Linked DNA regions of Oryctolagus cuniculus. The protein of the gene in region 1 interacts with the protein of each later gene in a biochemical or structural test. Links are inferred from orthologs where the notes say so. Each region holds a gene or a part of one and is shown in the gene's direction. Other genes may lie near its edges.

What was found.
Region 2: the proteins of NHERF2 (region 1) and SGK1 form a complex in vitro, tested with the Homo sapiens proteins (2 studies listed by BioGRID, with this or other methods). The link is inferred for Oryctolagus cuniculus from reciprocal best matches to the Homo sapiens genes NHERF2 and SGK1.
Region 3: the proteins of NHERF2 (region 1) and KCNJ1 form a complex in vitro, tested with the Homo sapiens proteins (2 studies listed by BioGRID and IntAct, with this or other methods). The link is inferred for Oryctolagus cuniculus from reciprocal best matches to the Homo sapiens genes NHERF2 and KCNJ1.

What each region holds. Positions count from the first base shown.
Region 1 is NC_091450.1:33,195,575-33,202,369, reverse strand, and holds the start of NHERF2 (Na(+)/H(+) exchange regulatory cofactor NHE-RF2), read left to right. Parts: upstream 1-2,866; 5' UTR 2,867-2,916; coding exon 2,917-3,129; intron 3,130-4,816; coding exon 4,817-5,017; intron 5,018-6,795.
Region 2 is NC_091436.1:34,690,978-34,697,772, forward strand, and holds the start of SGK1 (serine/threonine-protein kinase Sgk1), read left to right. Parts: upstream 1-2,702; 5' UTR 2,703-2,746; coding exon 2,747-2,822; intron 2,823-2,949; coding exon 2,950-3,025; intron 3,026-3,402; coding exon 3,403-3,478; intron 3,479-3,852; coding exon 3,853-3,957; intron 3,958-4,069; coding exon 4,070-4,153; intron 4,154-4,270; coding exon 4,271-4,402; intron 4,403-4,620; coding exon 4,621-4,733; intron 4,734-5,053; coding exon 5,054-5,177; intron 5,178-5,608; coding exon 5,609-5,704; intron 5,705-6,218; coding exon 6,219-6,374; intron 6,375-6,493; coding exon 6,494-6,583; intron 6,584-6,795. UniProt on the Homo sapiens protein: Serine/threonine-protein kinase which is involved in the regulation of a wide variety of ion channels, membrane transporters, cellular enzymes, transcription factors, neuronal excitability, cell growth, proliferation, survival, migration and apoptosis.
Region 3 is NC_091432.1:122,488,477-122,495,242, reverse strand, and holds the start of KCNJ1 (ATP-sensitive inward rectifier potassium channel 1), read left to right. Parts: upstream 1-2,109; 5' UTR 2,110-2,313; intron 2,314-6,766. UniProt on the Homo sapiens protein: Inward rectifier potassium channels are characterized by a greater tendency to allow potassium to flow into the cell rather than out of it.

The sequences.
Region 1 (6,795 bases):
CTGGGCATGGGGGGGGGGCTGTGACAGGCAGCCGAGTCCTGGGCCTGGGGGGGGGGCGGTGACAGGCAGCCCAGTCCTGGGCATGGAGGGGGGGGGCGGTGACAGGCAGCCGAGTCCTGGGCATGTGGGGGGGGGCGGTGACAGGCAGCCCAGTCCTGGGCATGGGGGGGGGGCTGTGACAGGCAGCCGAGTCCTGGGCCTGGGGGGGGGGCGGTGACAGGCAGCCCAGTCCTGGGCATGGAGGGGGGGGGCGGTGACAGGCAGCCCAGTCCTGGGCATGTGGGGGGGGGCGGTGACAGGCAGCCCAGTCCTGGGCCTGGGGGGGGGCGGTGACAGGCAGCCGAGTCCTGGGCCTGGGGGGGGGGGCGGTGACAGGCAGCCCAGTCCTGCGCCTGGGGGGGTGCGGTGACAGGCAGCACAGTCCTGGGCCTGGGGGGGGCGGTGACAGGCAGCCCAGTCCTGGGCATGGAGGGGGGGGGCGGTGACAGGCAGCCGAGTCCTGGGCATGGGGGGGGGGCGGTGACAGGCAGCCCAGTCCTGGGCATGGGGGGGGGGGGCTGTGACAGGCAGCCGAGTCCTGGGCCTGGGGGGGGGGCGGTGACAGGCAGCCGAGTCCTGGGCCTGGGGGGGGGGCGGTGACAGGCAGCCCAGTCCTGGGCCTGGGGGGGGGGCGGTGACAGGCAGCCCAGTCCTGGGCATGTGGGGGGGGGCGGTGACAGGCAGCCCAGTCCTGGGCCTGGGGGGGCGGTGACAGGCAGCCCAGTCCTGGGCCTGGGGGGGGGGCGGTGACAGGCAGCCCAGTCCTGCGCCTGGGGGGGCGGTGACAGGCAGCCCAGTCCTGGGCATGGGGGGGGGCGGTGACAGGCAGCCGAGTCCTGGGCCTGGGGGGGGGCGGTGACAGGCAGCCCAGTCCTGCGCCTGGGGGGGCGGTGACAGGCAGCCCAGTCCTGGGCCTGGGGGGGGCGGTGACAGGCAGCCCAGTCCTGGGCATGGGGGGGGGGGCTGTGACCGAGTCCTGGGCCTGGGGGGGCGGTGACAGGCAGCCCAGTCCTGGGCACGGCGGGTGGCGACAGACAGCTGAGTCTGGGGCCACGGTGGGTGGTGGTGGTCTGCCTTAGGGAGGAGGGACCAGGGCCTTCTGTGAGCGGAGTTGAGGGGTTCAGGCGTGCAACAGCGCTAAGTAGCAAGGTTTGCTGGGGACAGGGCGTCCGTCCCCACGGCAGGGAGAGAGCGGGCGCATGCCTGGTCACTCACACTGGGGGCAGCAAGGCTGCTGGGGGAACGGGGAGCCTGGCAGGCCTGGCGGGCGGCTCAGAGGAGACAGCCGAGTGCAGGACCTTGGTTCCCACGGACGGGTCCAGTTTTCCCTCGCCCCCGCCTCTCTCTCTACCCCCTCCCCCTTCTCTCCAGGTTTGGGGAGCCCTCGGGAGGTTCCCCTAGGGCGCCTGCCTTGGAGGAAGGCCTGAGGGTTACTGCTGGGCGGCGGGCGGATTGCCCGGGGAGCGTCCCCTGGGGCAGGGCTCTAACACACACCCAGGCTCATTTCTAACTTCCCACCTAACACTTCCTCACCCCTCAAACAATGTGGCCACAAAGCTACAGCCTGGCAGGTACTGGGCGCTGCGGGGTGGGGGCACACAGTGGGCGCAGGGTCCAGGGTGCCAGCTGCAGCTGGACAGGCGGGTGGTCAGCCCAAGGCACCGACCCTCAAGACCTGCAGAGGTGAGGGTGGGGGCACCCACGATGCCACGAGCTCCTGGAGGTGGGCACCCAGGGGGCCACGGTGTGGGTGGGGGCTGGAGAGCCCAGGCCAAGAGAACTGGAGACGGGAGAGCAAGGGGTGAGGACTGGGGCCCACCTGGGAACTGTCTGGACTGCTGCGCCCCACCCCTGGGGCAGGCATGGGCAGGGGTCCCTGCTGGGCTGGGGCGGGGCAGGCCAGGCCGCCTCAGGCCTCAGCCGTGAAGGCTGCAGGCTTGGGCCGCACAGCCCTGGGCCTGGGGGAGGGGTGCTTCCCTCTGTGCCAGTAAAACTGCACCTGGAGAGGCCTGGCCAGGCAAAGTGCTGCTGGCGGTTGTCAGCCGCAGGGCAGGGGAGGCGTGGCAGAGGCAGGGGGCAGGTGCCAGAGACCTCGGCTCAGGTGTGCCGGTGCTGACCACAGAGTACAGAGGCCAAAGTCTCGGGGCAGGAGGCCAGCCCCCGACCGACCCTGCAGCCTGGGACTCCAGGGTCTGCCGGGGCCTGGGGTAGGCCTCAGCCAAGTGCGAGAATGGAGGGCCGACCTCTAGGGAGCCCACGGGCACACAAAGCCCACCCTGTCACTACGGCCTCCAGGGGCCTCCAGGCAGGTCGTGGGGCTCTGTGCAGGGCAGCCCTGGCTGCGGGAGGGTCCCGGGGGTGAGGGCAGTGGCTGGGGAGCAGGTGAACCGTGCGGGTGGGCAAAGGACCGCCCAGGGAGGGCAGGCAGGGCCTCACTCCGGGGCCTCCCTGGGGGTTCTGCCTGGGGCCACTGTCTCCCACCTGGCCCCCAGCTCAGGAGCCGGCTCTAGGCCCTGCACAGGAAGCCAGAAGCGCTGGCACCAACGTGCTGCCAGACACAGGGGTTCCCCGGCCCTGAAGCCTCCCCTCCAGAGCCCCTCGGGCAGCTGGGGCCGGGAGGCAGGGCCAGGCCAGCGCGTCGTGGACCCGGGGCGGGGGCGGCCGGGCGGCGGGGGCGGGGAAGGGGCGGGCGCGGGGGCGGTGCCCCAGCCCGAGCCGGAGCCCGAGCCGGAGCCCGAGCCCGAGCCCGAGGCGACTGGAGCCGAGCGAGCGCAACGCCGAGGCGGCCGCCCGTCCCCCGCGCCGCCCCCGCGCCCCGGCCTGCGGGCCCCGTAGCGCCGTGGCCAGCCCGCGGCCGGCCGGTGGTCAGCGGGCGCCATGGCCGCGCCGGAGCCGTTGCGGCCGCGCCTGTGCCGCCTGGTGCGTGGCGAGCAGGGCTACGGCTTCCACCTGCATGGCGAGAAGGGCCGCCGTGGGCAGTTCATCCGGCGCGTGGAGCCCGGCTCCCCCGCCGAGGCGGCCGCGCTGCGCGCGGGGGACCGCCTGGTCGAGGTGAACGGCGTCAACGTGGAAGGCGAGACGCACCACCAGGTGGGTGCCGCGCTGCGCCCCGGCCGGCTGGGCGCTGCCTGCGGGTGGCGGGCCCCGCACCTCCCCCGCGACGCTCAGCCCCGCACCGCAGCGCGGGGGAAGGCGTTCTGGCAGGGAGGGGCCGCACTGCGGCTCCAAGCCGGCCCTCGGCCCCCTCCCCCCGCCTGGCTCCAGCCTGTGTGTCGGTGAACCCGGGTGCTTCCTGAGCCTGTGGGACTGTGTGACCGCGCAAGGCCTCCGGGGTCCTGCCCGTGTGGGTGCCAGCAGCCAGGCCCCTGCGCGTCTGGGCGGTGTAGACCGGCCAGTGTGTCTGCAGCCGGGGTGCCTGGATCCGGTGCGAGTTGGCAGTCCCTGGTGGCACATTCCATAGCTGCTGCGACCCTCACCCTCCTCGGGGCGCTGTGGCCACTGCCCCCTGCTCCTGCAGCTGGAGAGGGTAGGGCCTCTTCCCTTGCAGGCTGTAACCCCTGGGATGTCCGTCTCCCGCTGGCCAGGGACTCACCTCAGATCCTGGCCAGAGTCCAGCCTCCCTCCGGACCGGCTGCTCCGGCTGCTCCGTGTCCCTCACAGCACCGCTGAGCCTGTGGCCTGTCTACGTGGCCAGTACTGGGCCTAGGGGTTAGCAGACAGCTGAGCCACTGGCCGGGCTTCCCGGGGTCCCCTAGCCTCTGTCTTCCAGCGAGACTGGAAGCTGGGTAGAGCGGTGCTGTGTGCTGAAGTGCAGTGGGGGTCAGGGCCACAGGTGGGGGAGGCAGGGCTGGCAGAGCTGGCACCCCGCCTCTGTGTGACAGCCATGGCCATCCTCGCTCCAGCTGCACCTGCTGTTCCGGGCCCCTGGGCACTTGTCTGAGAACTTCACACCCAGCCCCAGCCCCAGGAGGTGCGGCCGGGACTCTGCTTTACAAATATGGAAACTGAGGCTTGGAGCTTCAGTTTGGGTCACAAGTCGGGGAGCAGGGCCGGGCGAGGACGGGCCTGGCTCGCTCCCCCTGTTGCTTGACAGCATCTGGGGAGCTGGGCAGCAGGTGGGAGCCTTCTGCTCCGCTCTTCCACAGGCCGAGGGCCATAGTGGGCACTGCCCTCTCCCTGCTGGCACACGCTGGCACCCTGTGTGCTCCCAGACACACAGCGCCTGGAACGCCGCACCTGTGCCACGGGCAGACCTGCCCCTCTCCCCGCTGTCCTCCTTACCCGACCGTGTGCGGGGGCCTGAGCGGGAACCCAGCTCTCAGCTGTCCGCAGGCCCAGCAGGAGTGGGTCTGTGGTCTGCAGGCAGACGGTCTGTGTCTAGGGCAGGTTGAGATTCCCGTGAGAAAGTTGAAAGCAAGCGAACATGCACAGCCAAACTAACACCCGACAGCACCTCCCGCCTCCAACCTGGGCTGGAAGGCAGACTTGGAAACAGATGGTGCGCACACACGAGCGTGTGCACACGCACGGGCAGACCGAGCCCCTGAAGCTCATTCAGTGCCGTCTTGGTCACCTCCACCCTGGGCTGAGAGCAGCTCAGGGCTGGCTGTGTCAGGGAGCCGGGGGCGGGGGGCGGAGCCGGCGGGGCCAGCCGCCCACCCCTGGCAGCCTGGCTGCCTGTCTGCCTGCCAGCCCAGGCCATCCCGGAGTGGTGCCACCGTCCACGTGCTGCCCGGGCTGCCGGCCGCTGACCTGCCCCCGTCCCTGCCTGCCCCAGGTGGTGCAGAGGATCAAGGCTGTCGAAGGGGAGACCCGGCTGCTGGTAGTGGACAAGGAGACGGACGAGGAGCTGCGCCGGCGGCAGCTCACCTGCACCGAGGACATGGCCCAGCGAGGGCTCCCGCCCGCCCACGACCCCTGGGAGCCAAAGCCGGACTGGGCACGTGCAGGCAGCCTGAGCTCTGACGCTGGCCAGAAGGTACGGCAGCCTCTGCCCGTGCGGCCACCCTGGCCTCTTGACAAGTCTTCACCCCGCCCCGGCTGCCTTCTGGGTCCCTCTTCTCTCAGTCCGAGTTCCTAACTGGGGGTAGACAGGACAGCTCGGCCCCCTTCCCGGCTCGCTCTCTGTCCCTGCCCTTAGCCTGGCCCAGGGCGACGAGGCCCTTCCTGCCCGGTGGGCGGAGTCACCGGACCCTGGGAAGGAGCGAGCCTGGCCCCTCAGCAGCGTCTGCGTCTCTGTCTGTCTGTCTGGTCTGAGTGTAGGGTGAAGCCCTCGGAGAGAGCTGGCCCCAGAAGCTGCTGTGCGCAGCCTGGTTCAGGAAGCTTCTAGGGCGAGCCCACCCTTCCCCCAGTCTTCAGCAAAGACCCCCCAGCCGCAGGAGGGGTGGGGACCTGGAAGTAACCCTGCGGGGCAAGCATGTGAGCCCTGGGGAAGAGCCGTCTCCTACCTCTTTGGTTGACCACATCCCTTGGGGGGTTCCGCCTAGGGGTTCCCCAGATTCCGCTTTGAGAACCCCCGGCCTGGGGGCAGTGGAGGTATTGGGCCTAACGTGTGGGGTGGGCGGGGGCCTTCACGTGGACCTTTTTCCTTTCCCACCCTCTCCCACCACAGCTGGCTGCGCTGTGAGCTGGGCCCCGGGGGGCCCGTCCTGGGCGGGCTGGCGCTCCCGGTGGGACTCCTTGTCCTGGGCAAGGCCTGGCCTGGGAGCCCACGGGACACTCTTGGCCTTCCGAGAGGTCAGGGCCGCAGGTGCTGAGCCCTGGAGCCTGGACTTTTGCCCCAGGGCCACGAGGGCCAGAGTCTCTGCAGGGAGCCCTGGCCCGGCTGCCTTGCGGGAGGGCCCCCGGGCTGAGGCCTGGAGCCGCAGTCTTTCTCAGGCACCCCTCCCTGTCCCAGGAGGAAGCCCCCCCACCCCGCTGCATTTGTCCATTGATTTAGACACAAACGGCCCGGTTCACCTTCCTGTGGAAAAATCCGCCCAGGGTGGGGTGGCCCTGGTGCCCCGGGTCGCGCCTTCCCCTCCGCTCCTTGGAGCTCTGGGGGCTGCAGGAAGCCCTAGGAGCGGCTTCCTCTGGCGATTCTTGGAGGAACGAGGCGGGCCCCGGCTGGCAGGTCCTTCTGTGCCAACCGGGCTGGCCTCGGGGACAGGGCCAGGAGGCCGGGGGCAGGGTCCCCCCCAGCAGGAGGTGCTGGGCTCACTGTGACCTCCAGGAGCAAGGCTCAGGCCTCCCAGGGCTGGGTGTGGGGGGTCCTGGCCTGAGGGCAGCTGGCCGGCCAGTGCCCACCCGCAGGGACAGGGACTGGAGAGTGCCCGCTCTGCTGCAGCAAGGGGCCCACGGCCGGTGCCCCGTGTCCGGGGAGGGCCGCTCTCGCCCTCTCTGCCCTTCAGCGTCGGGACGACGGGAGGTGGGCAGGGGGATGACGGCTGCGGCAGCCCCTCCCCCTGGGGGCTGTGAGGGCCTCGTCAGTGGTGACTCAGCCCTGGGCCACACCGGGCTGGGGTGGCTGCAGCTGCAGTGCAGCTGATCCCAGCCATGACGACAGGGACAGCCCCCACACCACGACAGGGCAGCCAGCTGTGCCAGCCCCAGCCTGTGCCCCCAGCCACCCCGCACCGGGAGGGCCTTGGGGGGAAAAGGGCAAGGGGCTGGTGCTTCTGAGGAGGGTGCGGCGTCTGCACCTGGGCCCCTGCCCCCCCCCCCCGAGGCATGGCGGGGCTGCCCTGGGCTCTGGGGCCGGGTCCTCTCCCTGGCCCC
Region 2 (6,795 bases), on another chromosome or scaffold:
GTATGTAAATTCCCTAGATATAAAGTGGGGTTCGCAGCAGAACCGGGACAGCTGGCCTCTGGCTCAGCCTCCCTTATCATCTCAGAGACAGAAGCAGGGAGGCAAGTCCCATCACAAGTGAGCTTTACTACCTCCAGCCTCCAGAAATCAGTCCTCCACCTTATATCCTGGGCAGCTTGAAGAATGAAAGAGGAGGCTATCAAATCCCCTTTGAAAGGTTAGTGCTTTCCGAACTCTGATTTGGATGGAGCCGGTAACACAAGGATGCCCAGAGGTTTTGAAATTACTGGGCATGGGCCAGGCACCTGTGAGGAGCAGGGAGGGGGGGAAGGGCGGGGATTTTGATTTCTTAATTTAGTGTTTTAAAACAAAAGGCAAGACTCTTCGGGCAGATTGATGTTTGTAGGCAGTCTGAGTGATGTTTGCTGTCTTGTCAAGGCAAGACTTGGCGAGGAACAGGTGGGAACAGGACCGGGCTGGGTTGGTTGACTGGCAGAACATGGGCCAGGGGTACAATGGCAATAGCTGGTATTCTGGGCAGAATCTGTTCACAAGGAAGCAGACACGGGCCAATTACTATGATATGGAATTACCCAAACCTTGCTTTAAGTTGGAGCCCGTGCTGTGTTAAGAGAGCAGCACTAAGCAAACTTCATCAACCAGTCTCCAAGAGAGAGAAGGATGCATGCTCTCTTCTCCCGAGCTGGGGCTGTTGCGACCGAAAAACCCAAGCAGGATACCAGACTAGATCATTTTAGGGCAAACGAGGTGGCTGTGCCTGCACAACAAATCCTTGCCCAAGACCAAGGGAAAAAGCGCCTCGCAGGCTATTCCTGGGTCGACAGCTGGTGTTTGGGAGTGTGGAGGCTCCAGTAGGCAAACTCTAAAATGGCAGGGCAGCAAGGGGTCAGGGCAGGGCAGCCACCGCAGACGGCAGCGGCGAGCGCCAGGTACCCGGCCCAGCGAAGAGGGGGAACTTGCAGCCGTCTCTGCCGCTCCCGGCCAGGTCTGAGCCAGAGACACCCCCCGGCCAGCGCTGGCGCGCGTCCCCGCGCCCGCGGTTGGGCTGCAGCGCCCCGGCGGCTCCCAGCGACGGGGTTACTGGAAGGCAGCGGCCTCGCCGCCTGCACAGCCCGGCCGCCGCGGGCAGCCTCCAGCCCCGGTCCGCGCGCCGGAGCGCCGTCACCGGCTCGTCCCTGTGGGGGTGCAGGAGACGCCACTTTGCGGGAAACAGCCCAACGCAGGCGACTCTGCGGGCGGCAGGGACGAGGAGGGCAAACGAAGGGATTCTAAGACAGGGTAGCGTTGACCTTGCGGAGTTCTGAGGCGGCAGAGCAGCGGGCGCGGGCCGGGCGCCGCCGCCGCCCTCTGCCGCCCGGGTCACGCCAGGTCCGCGCCGCCGCCGCCGCCGCCCTCACCGGCCTCCTCACGTGTTCTCGGCGTGGCGCGGATTAAAATGCAAGGGGGAAAAAAAGTGCACGCAAAACGGACAGAATGTTCTCTAGAAATTACAAAAGGGGTGGGGGGGGGCTGCAGATTGCACTTTGTCTTCAATGCAGAGCCGAATTTTGCTTCCGCCCCCTCCCCTACACATTCCTGACTCCCCTCCCCCCCCTTTTCCCTCCTTCTTTCCTTCCTTCCTCCTCTTCCAAGTTCTGGGATTTTTTTTTTTCCAGCCTTGCTTGGTTTTGGCCAAAAGCACAAAAAAGGCGTTTTCGGAAGCGGCTCGGCCGTGCACAAGGGCCATTTGTTTGTTTTGGGACCCGGGCAGGAAATCTTGCCCGGCCTGAGTCACGGCGGCTCCTTCAAGGAAACGTCAGTGCTCTCCGGTCGCTCTCGCCCGCCGCCCGCTGCCCATGGGGGAGATGCAGGGAGCGCTCGCCAGGGCCCGGCTCGAGTCCTTGCTCCGGCCCCGCCACAAAAAGAGGGCCGAGGCGCAGAAAAGGAGCGAGTCTTTCCTGCTGAGCGGACTGGGTAAGCGCGCCTCGGCCCCCGCGGGGACTTGGCTCCTCCGGTGCGCGCGGGCGCATGGCTCCGGCCCGGTTCTCGGGCTCGGGAGAAGGGGTGGGGGGTGGACGGAGAGCGGCGTGACCGGGCGGCGGGAGCGGGGAGGACCGGCCCGGGAGCTCCGGCCCCGCGCTGACCCTGCAGATGAGGGCGCGCTGAGACGCCTGCGCCTGAGAGAACTCCCGGGCGGTCGCACGCTCCGCCCGGCCTCGGCGGGGAGGAAACCGGGGGGCGCCGGGGCGGGGGTCCCGGGCTATCTATCGCCGAGAGAGTGCAACTGCGGGGGAGGGTGTGGGCTCGCGCAGGGCCGCCGGCCCGCCGGGCTGCGTCCGGAAGGCAGCTCGGCGCTGCTACCCTGACTTCCTCGCCGAACGGAATAAATGAGAAAAATGGAAAATTACTCCGCATCCTTTCCCGCCACCTCCGCCCGCGCCCCGGGGCGCCGAACACTGGCGAAACTGCCCTCCCCGGGCGGCTCCCGAGTCCCCCACCTCCGCCCGCGGCTCGCCCTCAGGCTGGGGACAGAACCGCCCGCCGCGGGCTGCCGTCCCGCCGGGACGCGGCGCGGCGGCCGGGGGCGGGGCCTGCGCTGGGGGGCGGGGCCGCGCCGCTCCTTTGTCGCCGGTCGGGCCCCTCCCCTGCCGGCGCAGCCTTTATAAAGCCGGGCGCGCGGCCCGAGCGCAGAGTTGGCTGAGCCGGTCTCTCATTCCCAACGACTCGCTGTGGTCTCACCGTGGCGATGACCGTGAAAACCGAGGCTGCTAGGGGCCCCCTCACTTACTCCAGGATGAGGGGCATGGTGGCCATCCTCATCGGTGAGTGCAGGAGTCAGGCCGCCGCGCGGTGCGAGTTTTCGGAAGGTCGCGGATCACGGAGTGTGTGTGGCGGCGGACGTTACGAAGCCATCTGAGCATTCGTTTATTTCTCCTCTTTCATTCACAGCGTTCATGAAGCAGAGGAGGATGGGCCTGAACGACTTTATTCAGAAGATCGCTAATAATTCCTATGCGTGCAAGCAGTAAGTTCGGGTGGGATTGCGGGAATTAAAGTCAGTAGCGCCGGCAGGGTAGCAGAGTCGTCTCCCCTCGCTGGGTTACGTCGGGGTGGAGATCTCATTTCTCCTCAAATCCTGGTTTACTTGAGACGTTTTTAACACGGAGACGGGCTTGCCTCCTTGTCGCCCGCCCTCCGCGTGAAAAACCACCTCAATTTCTGTACACAGCTGGGCTCACTGTTGGCTTCAAAGGGCCCAGTAGATGATTTTGGGTGTTTGCAGTTGAAGTCCTGGATTCTCCGGGGAAACTTCGAGCCAGAAACTCAACTGGTGGTGTTGCTGTGCCCCCTAGTGGGGCGCGAGGAGGCTCCAACGTGTGTGTGTTTTTTTTTCCTCTGCAGCACTGAAGTTCAGTCCATTTTGAAAATCTCCCAACCTCAGGAGCCCGAGCTTATGAACGCCAACCCTTCGCCTCCGGTGAGTATCGTTCCGTTTGTGAAGCATCTATGGGGGAGAATTGTTAAGTGAGTCACCTAGTATCCCTACATTGATGGATTAAAATAGCATTTCTGGAAATTAGTATGAAGGCAGGAATGTCTCATTAGTTAAGGACATAACAGGTGACATAACTAGTTAAGTATTGAGTCAGTGGAGTATTGTCTGAAGGCATATTTCATAAAAGTTTTATCCGTTTAATCTCCATACTCACTTGAAATAATGACATGGTGTGGTTGAAAAATAGTTTTGAGTGCGTTGATAGACGTATGGGACTTGCATCCAGCTTTTATGCTTTATTGTGGACGTCTGCCTTTGAAAGCGGTGACACTAAAGGAGAATGTTTTATTTTTCAGCCAAGTCCATCTCAACAAATCAACCTTGGCCCATCATCAAACCCTCATGCTAAACCATCAGACTTTCACTTCCTAAAAGTGATTGGAAAGGGCAGTTTTGGAAAGGTAATTTCAGATCCGGAGACCTTTGTATATACTCTCGTATGTGTTCATTTTACACTCTCCCTGGATGAGGACCCAAAAAGGATGATTTTTTTTTTTCTTATTGCAATTTCAGGTTCTACTAGCGAGACACAAAGCAGAGGAAGCCTTCTATGCAGTCAAGGTGTTGCAGAAAAAAGCAATCCTGAAAAAGAAGGAGGTAGGAGAAGGGGCTGGTGGGTTGGAGCTGTGAGTGGACGCTCACTGAATCAGCTTTGCCTTGGGAGTGGGTGCCAAGTTGAAGTTTGTCGCTCAGTCTGGGTTGTCATCCTCCTAGGAGAAGCATATTATGTCTGAGCGGAACGTGCTGCTGAAGAACGTGAAACACCCTTTCCTGGTGGGCCTGCACTTCTCCTTCCAGACGGCCGACAAGCTGTACTTTGTCCTAGACTACATTAACGGTGGAGAGGTGAGCGAGTGGGGAGCAGGGGCCGGTCTCTGCACAGCCTGCTTGGTTTTTTAGTCTAAAAAGGAAGTTTTCGAAGGTCTTTAGGGGGTAAAAGTTGCCGGGCTTCAAATAGTTAATAGATTACCTAGGGCTACTTCCTGCGATTGTTTTCGTTAGCTATATATGTCACTAGTGAAGTGTTTTGGCAGCCCAGACTAACTTTGTCCTGTCTCCTGCAGTTGTTCTACCATCTCCAGAGGGAGCGCTGCTTCCTGGAACCACGGGCTCGTTTCTATGCTGCTGAGATAGCCAGTGCCTTGGGTTACCTGCACTCTCTGAACATCGTTTATAGGTGAGCCAAAGAGCCCTGGTAGCCCTCCTGCTTGAGGGAGCCTTAAGATTGTGTGAGAGAGTGTGTGTGCGTGCACCTGGTCCCCTAAAACCAGATCCCCCAGCACGTGAGCTGCCTTGACTCCATGCCACTAGGGAACTGGCCAACTGGGATTGTCCCTAATCCAGACTAGATCAGCAGAACAAGGACTCCCTTTTTTTATTCACTGCACAACTGCAGTGAATTTAAAATACCTAATGCCCTTAGCAGTTAGCTTCACAGAGGACTTGTTATGAACTGAAATTAACATCAGCAACTACTCCTCTGTTCATTTTTTACAGAGACTTGAAGCCGGAGAATATTCTACTAGATTCACAGGGACACATCGTCCTGACTGACTTTGGGCTGTGCAAGGAGAACATTGAACACAACGGCACGACGTCCACCTTCTGCGGCACACCCGAGGTAGGCGCTCGCTTGCTCAGTCCGTCCAGGAGAGACTAGTGCCACAGTGCTTCTAACTTCCTGAACTCTTCAGAAATGTGCTTAGTACAGCTCAGTGAGAGCAAATTACATTCATGGCTTGGTGCATGCAGCGTGAGAAATTCTAAGACATCCTGTTGCTGTCATTGAAATGACCTATCTGTAGGAGCCACATCATAAAAGGGTTTCTAAACCCCCAAGGATGATAACTGTTAGCTACCCAGTAGCTTCCTAAATAGAGGCACCCAGAGGTGGCCGGTTAGCCTCAGAAAGGATAGCGGTTTTGTCGGGCAGTAATCTGAAGGAATACGTCCTGAGTTGCCTCTGGGTCTGTCCTTGCAGAGTACATGTCTGCTCTTGGGATTGCCCGGTCTTGCAGGTTCTAAGCTCTGTTTTCCTGTTGTGTCTTTCAGTATCTTGCACCTGAGGTGCTTCATAAGCAGCCTTATGACAGGACGGTGGACTGGTGGTGCCTGGGGGCCGTCTTGTATGAGATGCTGTATGGCCTGGTGAGTCGCACACAGGGAACCACGGGTACTGCCTCTACCTCAGTGATACGCCCTAGAACATTCTGCCACCCCCGCTTAACCCACACACGGGAGGACATGCAGGCCTGGCATTGGTCTTGCCCTTGTCTATAAGGTTTAGCTATCAAGAGCTAATAGGAGAAGCATGTTGATTATTTTATGAGAGTAATCTCCTACCTACTGGACTTTTCTCTTGTCCATTTCACATTGTACTACACAGGACAACATTTAAGCTGGGTGATGGTGAAAACCATGGCTTATCGCACCCACCCCTTCCCTATAAGGGTTGCAAAACAGACACTTAAAAATCAAGGGCAACTCACTGTCCACTCTGCCTGTAAAAAAAAAAAAAAAAAAAAAAAAAAAAAAATCAAGGGCAAAAGAAAACGTCCTTTCTCCAATCCAGCCTGCTGCTAGTTTAGTTTCAGTCTTTCTTCGCTGATAGGCTGTGACACAGAACTTCCAGTTAAGTGAGTGCCCTCCCTCGCTCTTTCAGCCTCCGTTTTATAGCCGAAACACAGCTGAGATGTACGACAACATTCTGAACAAGCCTCTCCAGCTGAAACCAAATATAACCAATTCTGCAAGACACCTCCTGGAGGGCCTCCTGCAGAAGGACAGGACAAAGAGACTCGGGGCCAAGGATGACTTTGTGAGTGACAGTGACTGCCCTCCCCCCCCCCCCCCCCGCCCTCCGGGAAGCACGCGGGGCCTCCCTGCCTTCACCTGAGTTCCACCCGTTTGAACTAATCATGGGCTTCTTCCCAACAGATGGAGATTAGGAATCACGTCTTCTTCTCTCTAATTAACTGGGACGATCTCATTAATAAGAAGATTACGCCTCCTTTTAACCCAAATGTTGTGAGTATCTCTCTCTCGCCTAACTAGTCTGAGGCCCAGAGGGCCTTTCTTCTAAGAACTGTTGGATGGTGAGGGGAGGGGACTTCAAGGAAGAAATTGCCAGTACTTTATTCATAGACCCATCATTTTCCCAAAGAAAAAGTAGAGTATTTTTTTTTGTCCTGCCAAAGTTATGGTCACTGTTTCAAACATTTGTCAATGAAAGTCCCCAA
Region 3 (6,766 bases), on another chromosome or scaffold:
ACTGGCATCCCGGGTTCTAGTCCCGGTTGGGGCACCAGATTCTGTCCCGGTTGCTCCTCTTCCAGTCCAGCTCCCTGCTGTGGCCCGGGAGTGCAGTGGAGGATGGCCCAAGTGCTTGGGCCCTGCACCCGCATGGGAGACCAGGGGGAAGCACCTGGCTCCTGGCTTCAGATCAGTACAGCGTGCCAGCGGTAGCAGCCATTTGGGGGGGGGGGGTGAACCAATGGAAAATGGAAGACCTTTCTCTCTGTCTCTCTCTCTAACTCTGCCTGTCAATAAATAAATAAATAAATAAATAAATAAAAAAAGAATGAAAAGACTATATTAGGGCAAATGCTCAGGTGAGCAAAATTGGGAGGGGGCAGCTGGGGGGGGGGTCTCTGGCATTCAGGAACAAAAGAGACAAGAAGCTGGGCATGGGGTTGGGAGACCCGCAAAGGTACATAGAAGACCACACAGGTCAGCAGAATGACTGTGAAAGAAGGAACTTTCGGAGACTGGGGTGAGCCCAGGGATGTGGAGCAACAGCGGGGCCTGGTTGGTGGTCCACGGGGGGACCCTGTGTGGAGGGAGAGGCCATGGCCAGCTCATGCTTTGAATCGCTCCTCCCACTGTTTCCGCTAAGGCTTTGCCACCTCTTTGCACAGGGCTCTTACCATCAGACTGCACTCCCTCAGTGGTTTCCCAGATGCCTATGCCTTAGTCTCTTTGTGTTACGATAACAAAATATATGAGACTGGGTAACTTAGAAGCAGCAGAATTTATTGCTTACACTTCTGGGAACCCTACGGATTCTCCATCCAAGACCGCAGCTTGAGTGCGTGGGTCTCACATGGTGGGAGACAGACTGGAGGAAAGAGGAAGGAGCCCAGGTCCCCCCTGCAGGGTACAGCGGTCCTCCCTTTCAAACCCTTCCAAGGGCCCTAATTCCATCCCCGCGGGCTCTGCTCTCATGACTTAATGACCTCGTAAAACCATCACACTGGAAATTAAATTTCAACGCATGAATTCTGGGGGACACTGTCAGACCATAGCAATCTACTATATTCCTTTCTTCTTCTCAATAACAACTGGCTATACTTCCAAGTGTCAGAAAATAAAATCGCCCTGTCCCATGCAGTGGTGCGTCAGTTTCTGCTTCACTCCCTTTGAGACCATGCGATATAGGCAAGTCCTGTGGGGTCAGAGCCTCTGACATCTGCCGTCCAAGCTGGATATGTGCTGCTTGGACTTTCCTCCTATTCTTCTCGTCACTTTGACTCCTGAATAAAGGCTGACATCTCATATCACCGTGTGCAGTGTGTTAAGCGAAGGGGACAGACAGTAAAGATGTGTGTAGCCTACCCATACTTACCACTGTCGCTCCATGCAAATGAGCAGCACCTTCTTAAAGAGACAGATACATGATGCTCCCAGTGGTGACCACAGCAACGAAGTGGGTTCATGGAGGACACCATGACCTGGATGAACGCCTGGAAGAGGCAAACCAAGGAGGGATGGGAGATGATTTTCTCTCTCCTAGTTAGAATCAGAGAGAGATGACCCTAGAAGGTTGGGAGGGGGTGATGGAAGGAGAGAATGTTGACACTTGGAGCAAGTTGACCTTTGTGCTTACTCAATGGCAAGTGCATTCCTTGCATTCTCTTACCACCCTCCATCCCACCTCTGGGTGGGTGGAAAGTTAGGACCCTTGCCCCAGGTTTCATTGTTGGTGAAGTCAGGTCTTCACTGCCCTACCCACAAAGCCTATTATAAAGCTCTATGTTGTCCTGGGACCAGAGTGACAGTTGAAGGGCTGAGGGAAGGTGAGTCTGACCATCGAGGGCCACAGAGTGAGTCCCTGAGCAGGAGAGACTTCAGAGGGGCTCCTGAGGGCCCCTCTCCATCTTGGCTCATCTAACCCTGTGTTCACACGCGCTCAGTCTCACGCACCTGACTCTGACACTACCAGCCTAAGCACATCGGCCTTCTGGTTCCAAGCCACAGCTCCATAAACAAATTCTTCTTAATTAGCCTTGGCAGCTCAACACCTTTGGTGTACCTAGCCCATTTACCTGGCACGCCTACTCTTGTTGGATCCGGTTATAAAGTAAACCATGTTCTTTGAGTGCAGTTGCATACAGATGAGTCGGCAGCCAGTCTGAGCCGACCCACAGACCCATAAAAACCAACAGGGCCTCCGGTACCCTCATCCGGGACAGCTAAACTCTTCGACCAAAGGGGCAAGGACTCGCTCACCTCAACAATCAGCTGCCTTCTTGGGGACCAAGAAAATGAGTTTTCGTCTCCACATACACTCTGGCAATCCATGAGGTAAGGGGAGAAACCCCCCATTGTCTCTTTGTAGACAAAAGGAGTGAATTCTTGTGGAAATTGAGCCCTTTCTCCATCCAGACAGACCTGTCCCTCCACTCCCAGGGGATAAAAGTGTGGTTTTCGTTCTCTTCTTTGATGCTCTTGACCCGTGGGTCTCACGTGGGAGCTGCATCCTCCTCGCCCTGGCCGTCTCCCAGTGCCACAGCCAGAGGCAGCGGAAGCCTCCGTTCGCTTGCGCTACACTTGGTGCAGCCTTTTCCTGCTGGGGACAGACAGGGGCGCAGGGTGTCTGTCTCGGGGCGTCGGGGCATCTTCCTGTTGCTGCAAGAGCTTGCTTAGTGGTGGGGCCCCTCTCAGGCCTTTCTCATCTGCAAGACAGAGTATAAAGCTGGTGTCTGGGGCCGGTGCTGCGGCTCACTAAGCTAATCCTCCGCCTTGCGGCGCCGGCACACCGGGTTCTAGTCCCGGTCGGGGCGCCGGATTCTGTCCCAGTTGCCCCTCTTCCAGGCCAGCTCTCTGCTGTGGCCAGGGAGTGCAGTGGAGGATGGCCCAAGTGCTTGGGCCCTGCACCCCATGGGAGACCAGGAGAAGTACCTGGCTCCTGCCACCATCGGATCAGCGCGGTGTGCCGGCCGCAGCACGCCAGCCGCGGCGGCCATTGGAGGGTGAACCAACGGCAAAGGAAGACCTTTCTCTCTGTCTCTCACTGTCCACTCTGCCTGTCCAAAAAAAAAAAAAAAAAAAAAAAAGCTGGTGTCTGCTTGGGAAAGGCATCCACATTGCAGAATCTTGCCCCATTCAGAGTGAAGGTGATCGATTTCTCAACACTTGTTCGGCTCTCCTAGGACAAATGCTCTGTGACATCTGTGTCTCACAGATTCTAGGCATTAGTGGCCCAAAACAAGCTGGGCTTTTGGAATTTGCAAACTTTAGGTAAAACATTTGTCTTTAATCCTGTTAATCAGACATAGAGAACAAAGCAAAACTTAGTGATTGTAGTTAGGAGGCTGTGATGCGTGTGGATTACCTGACTCCCCAGTCCCTACACATTTCCTTCAGTCCTGGGCTGCGCCTGCAGGGTCTCATTCTATGCTGTTTGGGATCAATGCATTCTCACCAAGCCAGCTTCAGTTTGGGAAAGTACAATGAGGTAGAGGTATCTGGGAAGGTATAAGCCATCAGAAATCTGGCTGTTTTCCATGCTGCAGCCAGCATGTCTTCTGTGTAAGGAAGGAAGCGCACCAAGTCAGTGTAGGTGCAAGATGGAACTGGGGGCCGGCGCCGTGGCTCACTTGGTTAATCCTCCGCCTGCAGCACCAGCATCCCTTATGGGCACCGGGTTCTAGTTCCGGTTGCTCCTCTTCCAGTGCAGCTCTCTGCTGTGGCCCGGGAGGGCAGTGGAGGATGGCCCAGGTCCTTGGGCACCTGTACCCGCGTGGGAGACCAGGAGGAAGCACCTGGCTCCTGGCTTCGGATCAGCGCAGCACCGGCCGTGCGACCATTTTGGGGGTGAACCAACGGAAGGAAGACTTTTCTCTCTGTCTCTCTCTCTCTCACTGGCTAATTCTACCTGTCAAATAAGTAAAAAAAAAAAAAAAAAGATGGAGCTGGCAAAGCAGCAAAGATTACTTGTGAACAGTTCTTGGCGCTTTGACGTTGTTGGTGGCTTCTGCTTGGTGCTCTCTTATTTTCTTTACATAAGATACTTGTAATGGCCAAGCGTGCTCTGCTGCAGAGAGATCTGAGACTCGGAACTCCCATGCATGTCCCTTTCCTTTTCCCAGCAACCTCTCATTCCACACTAGGCTGCAGATGGCCCTGGACCTGCTCACAGCTCAGTCATTTTCCAAAGGATGCAGCTCTGACTCACATGCCCTGCCTCCTGCTTGTCCCAGGGCTCGCGGGGCCTGAAGACTTCCTATTTCCTTCTCGCGGAGCTCTTGCCGGAATAGCTTACGCTTCTCCGCAGTCTGACCCTGAGTTTGACCCAAATTTCCTGCCCTTGGCTATCCAAGGGTGCAGTGGTACTACTGGTCTCTTCTTCACATTTCTCCTTCTCCTTGTATATGTGTGGTGGTATCCTGGGTACAGGCCTTCCCCTCATTTGCCTTCCAGTACATGTATAGTAAGCGTGCACCATGTTCTGGAATCTGTATGGTCCTGGGAGATGACAGGATGCTTGCAGTGGCCAACGATGCAGCACTCTGGATGCGTATAGCACCACGCAGGGCTGTGACAAGGAAACAGGCTGCTTGCCCTCTGCTGGGGGACACACCGCTGTGTAAGGACTTCTGCACAGTTCCACCCATGGTGCACTGGCTGTGTGGGCAGGAAGTACAGCATACCAAAGAAGAACAGTCCTCGACACCCTCGGCAGGCAAGATCGGGCCTGGTGGGGGCAAGAGGAAGAACATTCTAGAACAATGGCATGTACAAAACTACACAAGCCTGAGAAAGAGCCCAGCATATCCAGGGATATACCAAGCTTGTGTGGCTGAGGCGGGTGGTGAGTGAAGGTACAAATAAACAGAGGAGAGAAGTCACATTTGGGGAAGGGTCTCCTGGTGGGCCATGCTCAGGACACACTTGGGAACCTTGCTCAGATCAATGCCCATGTAGGGAAGGCTATCTGGTCTGCAAAATGCGGGATGGACAGGAATCGGGTGAGACCATGGCCAAGGAAACCAGTAGGAGGGTCCTAAGGAGACACAGGCACAAAGTCTGGTGGCCAAAAAGCTATGGAGAGTGAGAGGGGGCAGAGGAGGATGACACGGGGCTGGGAAGAGGGAGCCTGGGACCCAGAAACGTCCCCAGAGTCCACACGTCTTATTTTTTATTCCAGCCTCTTCGCAGCAAGGCTAATGTCACTGGTCAAAGGTAAGAGCAGGCACGCGGCCACACGATGGCACACTGTGGATGGCAGGGGTGGTTTTCTTCATGCTTATGCTCACGTCCACCTGTGCTTTTGTGTGATGGGTTCACGGCGCCCAGCCGTGATGGGCAGCAGGACCCGCGTTGGCCAGAGAACCAGCTTTTCAGATGCCTCCCGGGACCGTGGCACTGCATGCACGTGTGGGAGCAAGGAGAGAGACCTCAGTATCCTGGGTGCTCAGGTCCCCAGGGAGGCACTGCCCTGGCTGTGTGGTCAGCCTTGGCTCCAGTCTCTGCTGAGCCCCACTGCAGCCTTGTCAAAGGCAGGGCAGAAAAGCACGTGGCCCCTCAGCGTGTGGAAGCCTGAGGTTGAGACCACGTCAGGAACGATAAAAGGACGGCTGGGAGCCCTCTAACTGCTGCTGTGCCTGCCGTTTGCTGCCTGCAAACAGCGTGCTGTCAGGCGTGCTGGGGTGACGGGGAAGGCTGTTGTCTCGGGCCCCCGCGCGAGCCCCGCAGATGCAGGGAGCAGCGTATGGGGACACATGGCCCATGCGGCACACTCTGCTTGGGAAGCCCTGGGCCGAGTCACACAGGTGGTAGGAGGCAGAGCCGGGACTTAGGATTTTTCTCTTCACTCCGAGGGCTGCCCGAGTCCCCCTCGAGGAGGGCAGTGGCTTCCCAAAGGCCCCAGGGCAGCGTTCCATCTGAATTCCCCTGGTGATGCTGAGGGTCAATAACTTCCTCCCTGAAGCGAACCTGCTGCTATCTTCCTCCATCAGTTCCCAGTGGGCAGCCGAGTCTGGCCCACGCTCTGCTCTGCAGAGACACACGTGCTAAGGAGACACACGTGACCTGCTTTCTGCTGCTAAGAGGCTGGTTGCAAATACTCTGAAATACAAGGCAGAATTTTCCATTTCTTTAGAATTTCCCAACGTCCCTGCCCCTCCCTCTCCTCCAGTTGCACAATCCCCCATGTGTCTTGGCTGCATTTCAGGAATCACATTCGCGGGGGAGGATCGGCGTGCCCGCTCCATCCCCCGGGAGGAGATGTAAATGAGCAACACAAGGCAGTTGAAAGCAACAGGTTAATGTGGTCCCCGGAGAGCCAGGAAAGCCACAGCTCCCTCAGCTGACCGCCCCCAGGGGAAGTCTCATGCTTCGTTGCCCTTGATTAAATTCTCGGGAGATTTCTGGCCCTATCCAGATCAGCCATTTGTCCTTGAGGGGCTCCGGGAACTACGAATGCCTGCTATTGGCTTCTCGCGGGAAAAGACTCCGTGAAGTCCGAGCCCAGTGGTGAGATGTTCAGAGATAAGAGCGATCCCAGTCCCACGCCTGCAGGTGCGGTCAACCATTTCGGGGATCAAGGTATTCTGATGTGCTACAGGGCTGGACTGCTCATGAATTATGCATCAAGTATGGACGGCTTGAACTGGGTTCAGAGACACGTCACAGGCACAGCCGTAGGATTGCTTTAGAAGATGTCTGGGAAGCCCACTCTGCTGGTTCTTGTGAAGTGCAGAGACACACTCTCTGTACTGCAGAAGTTTCAGTCTCACAGGGAGGGTGTGTGAAT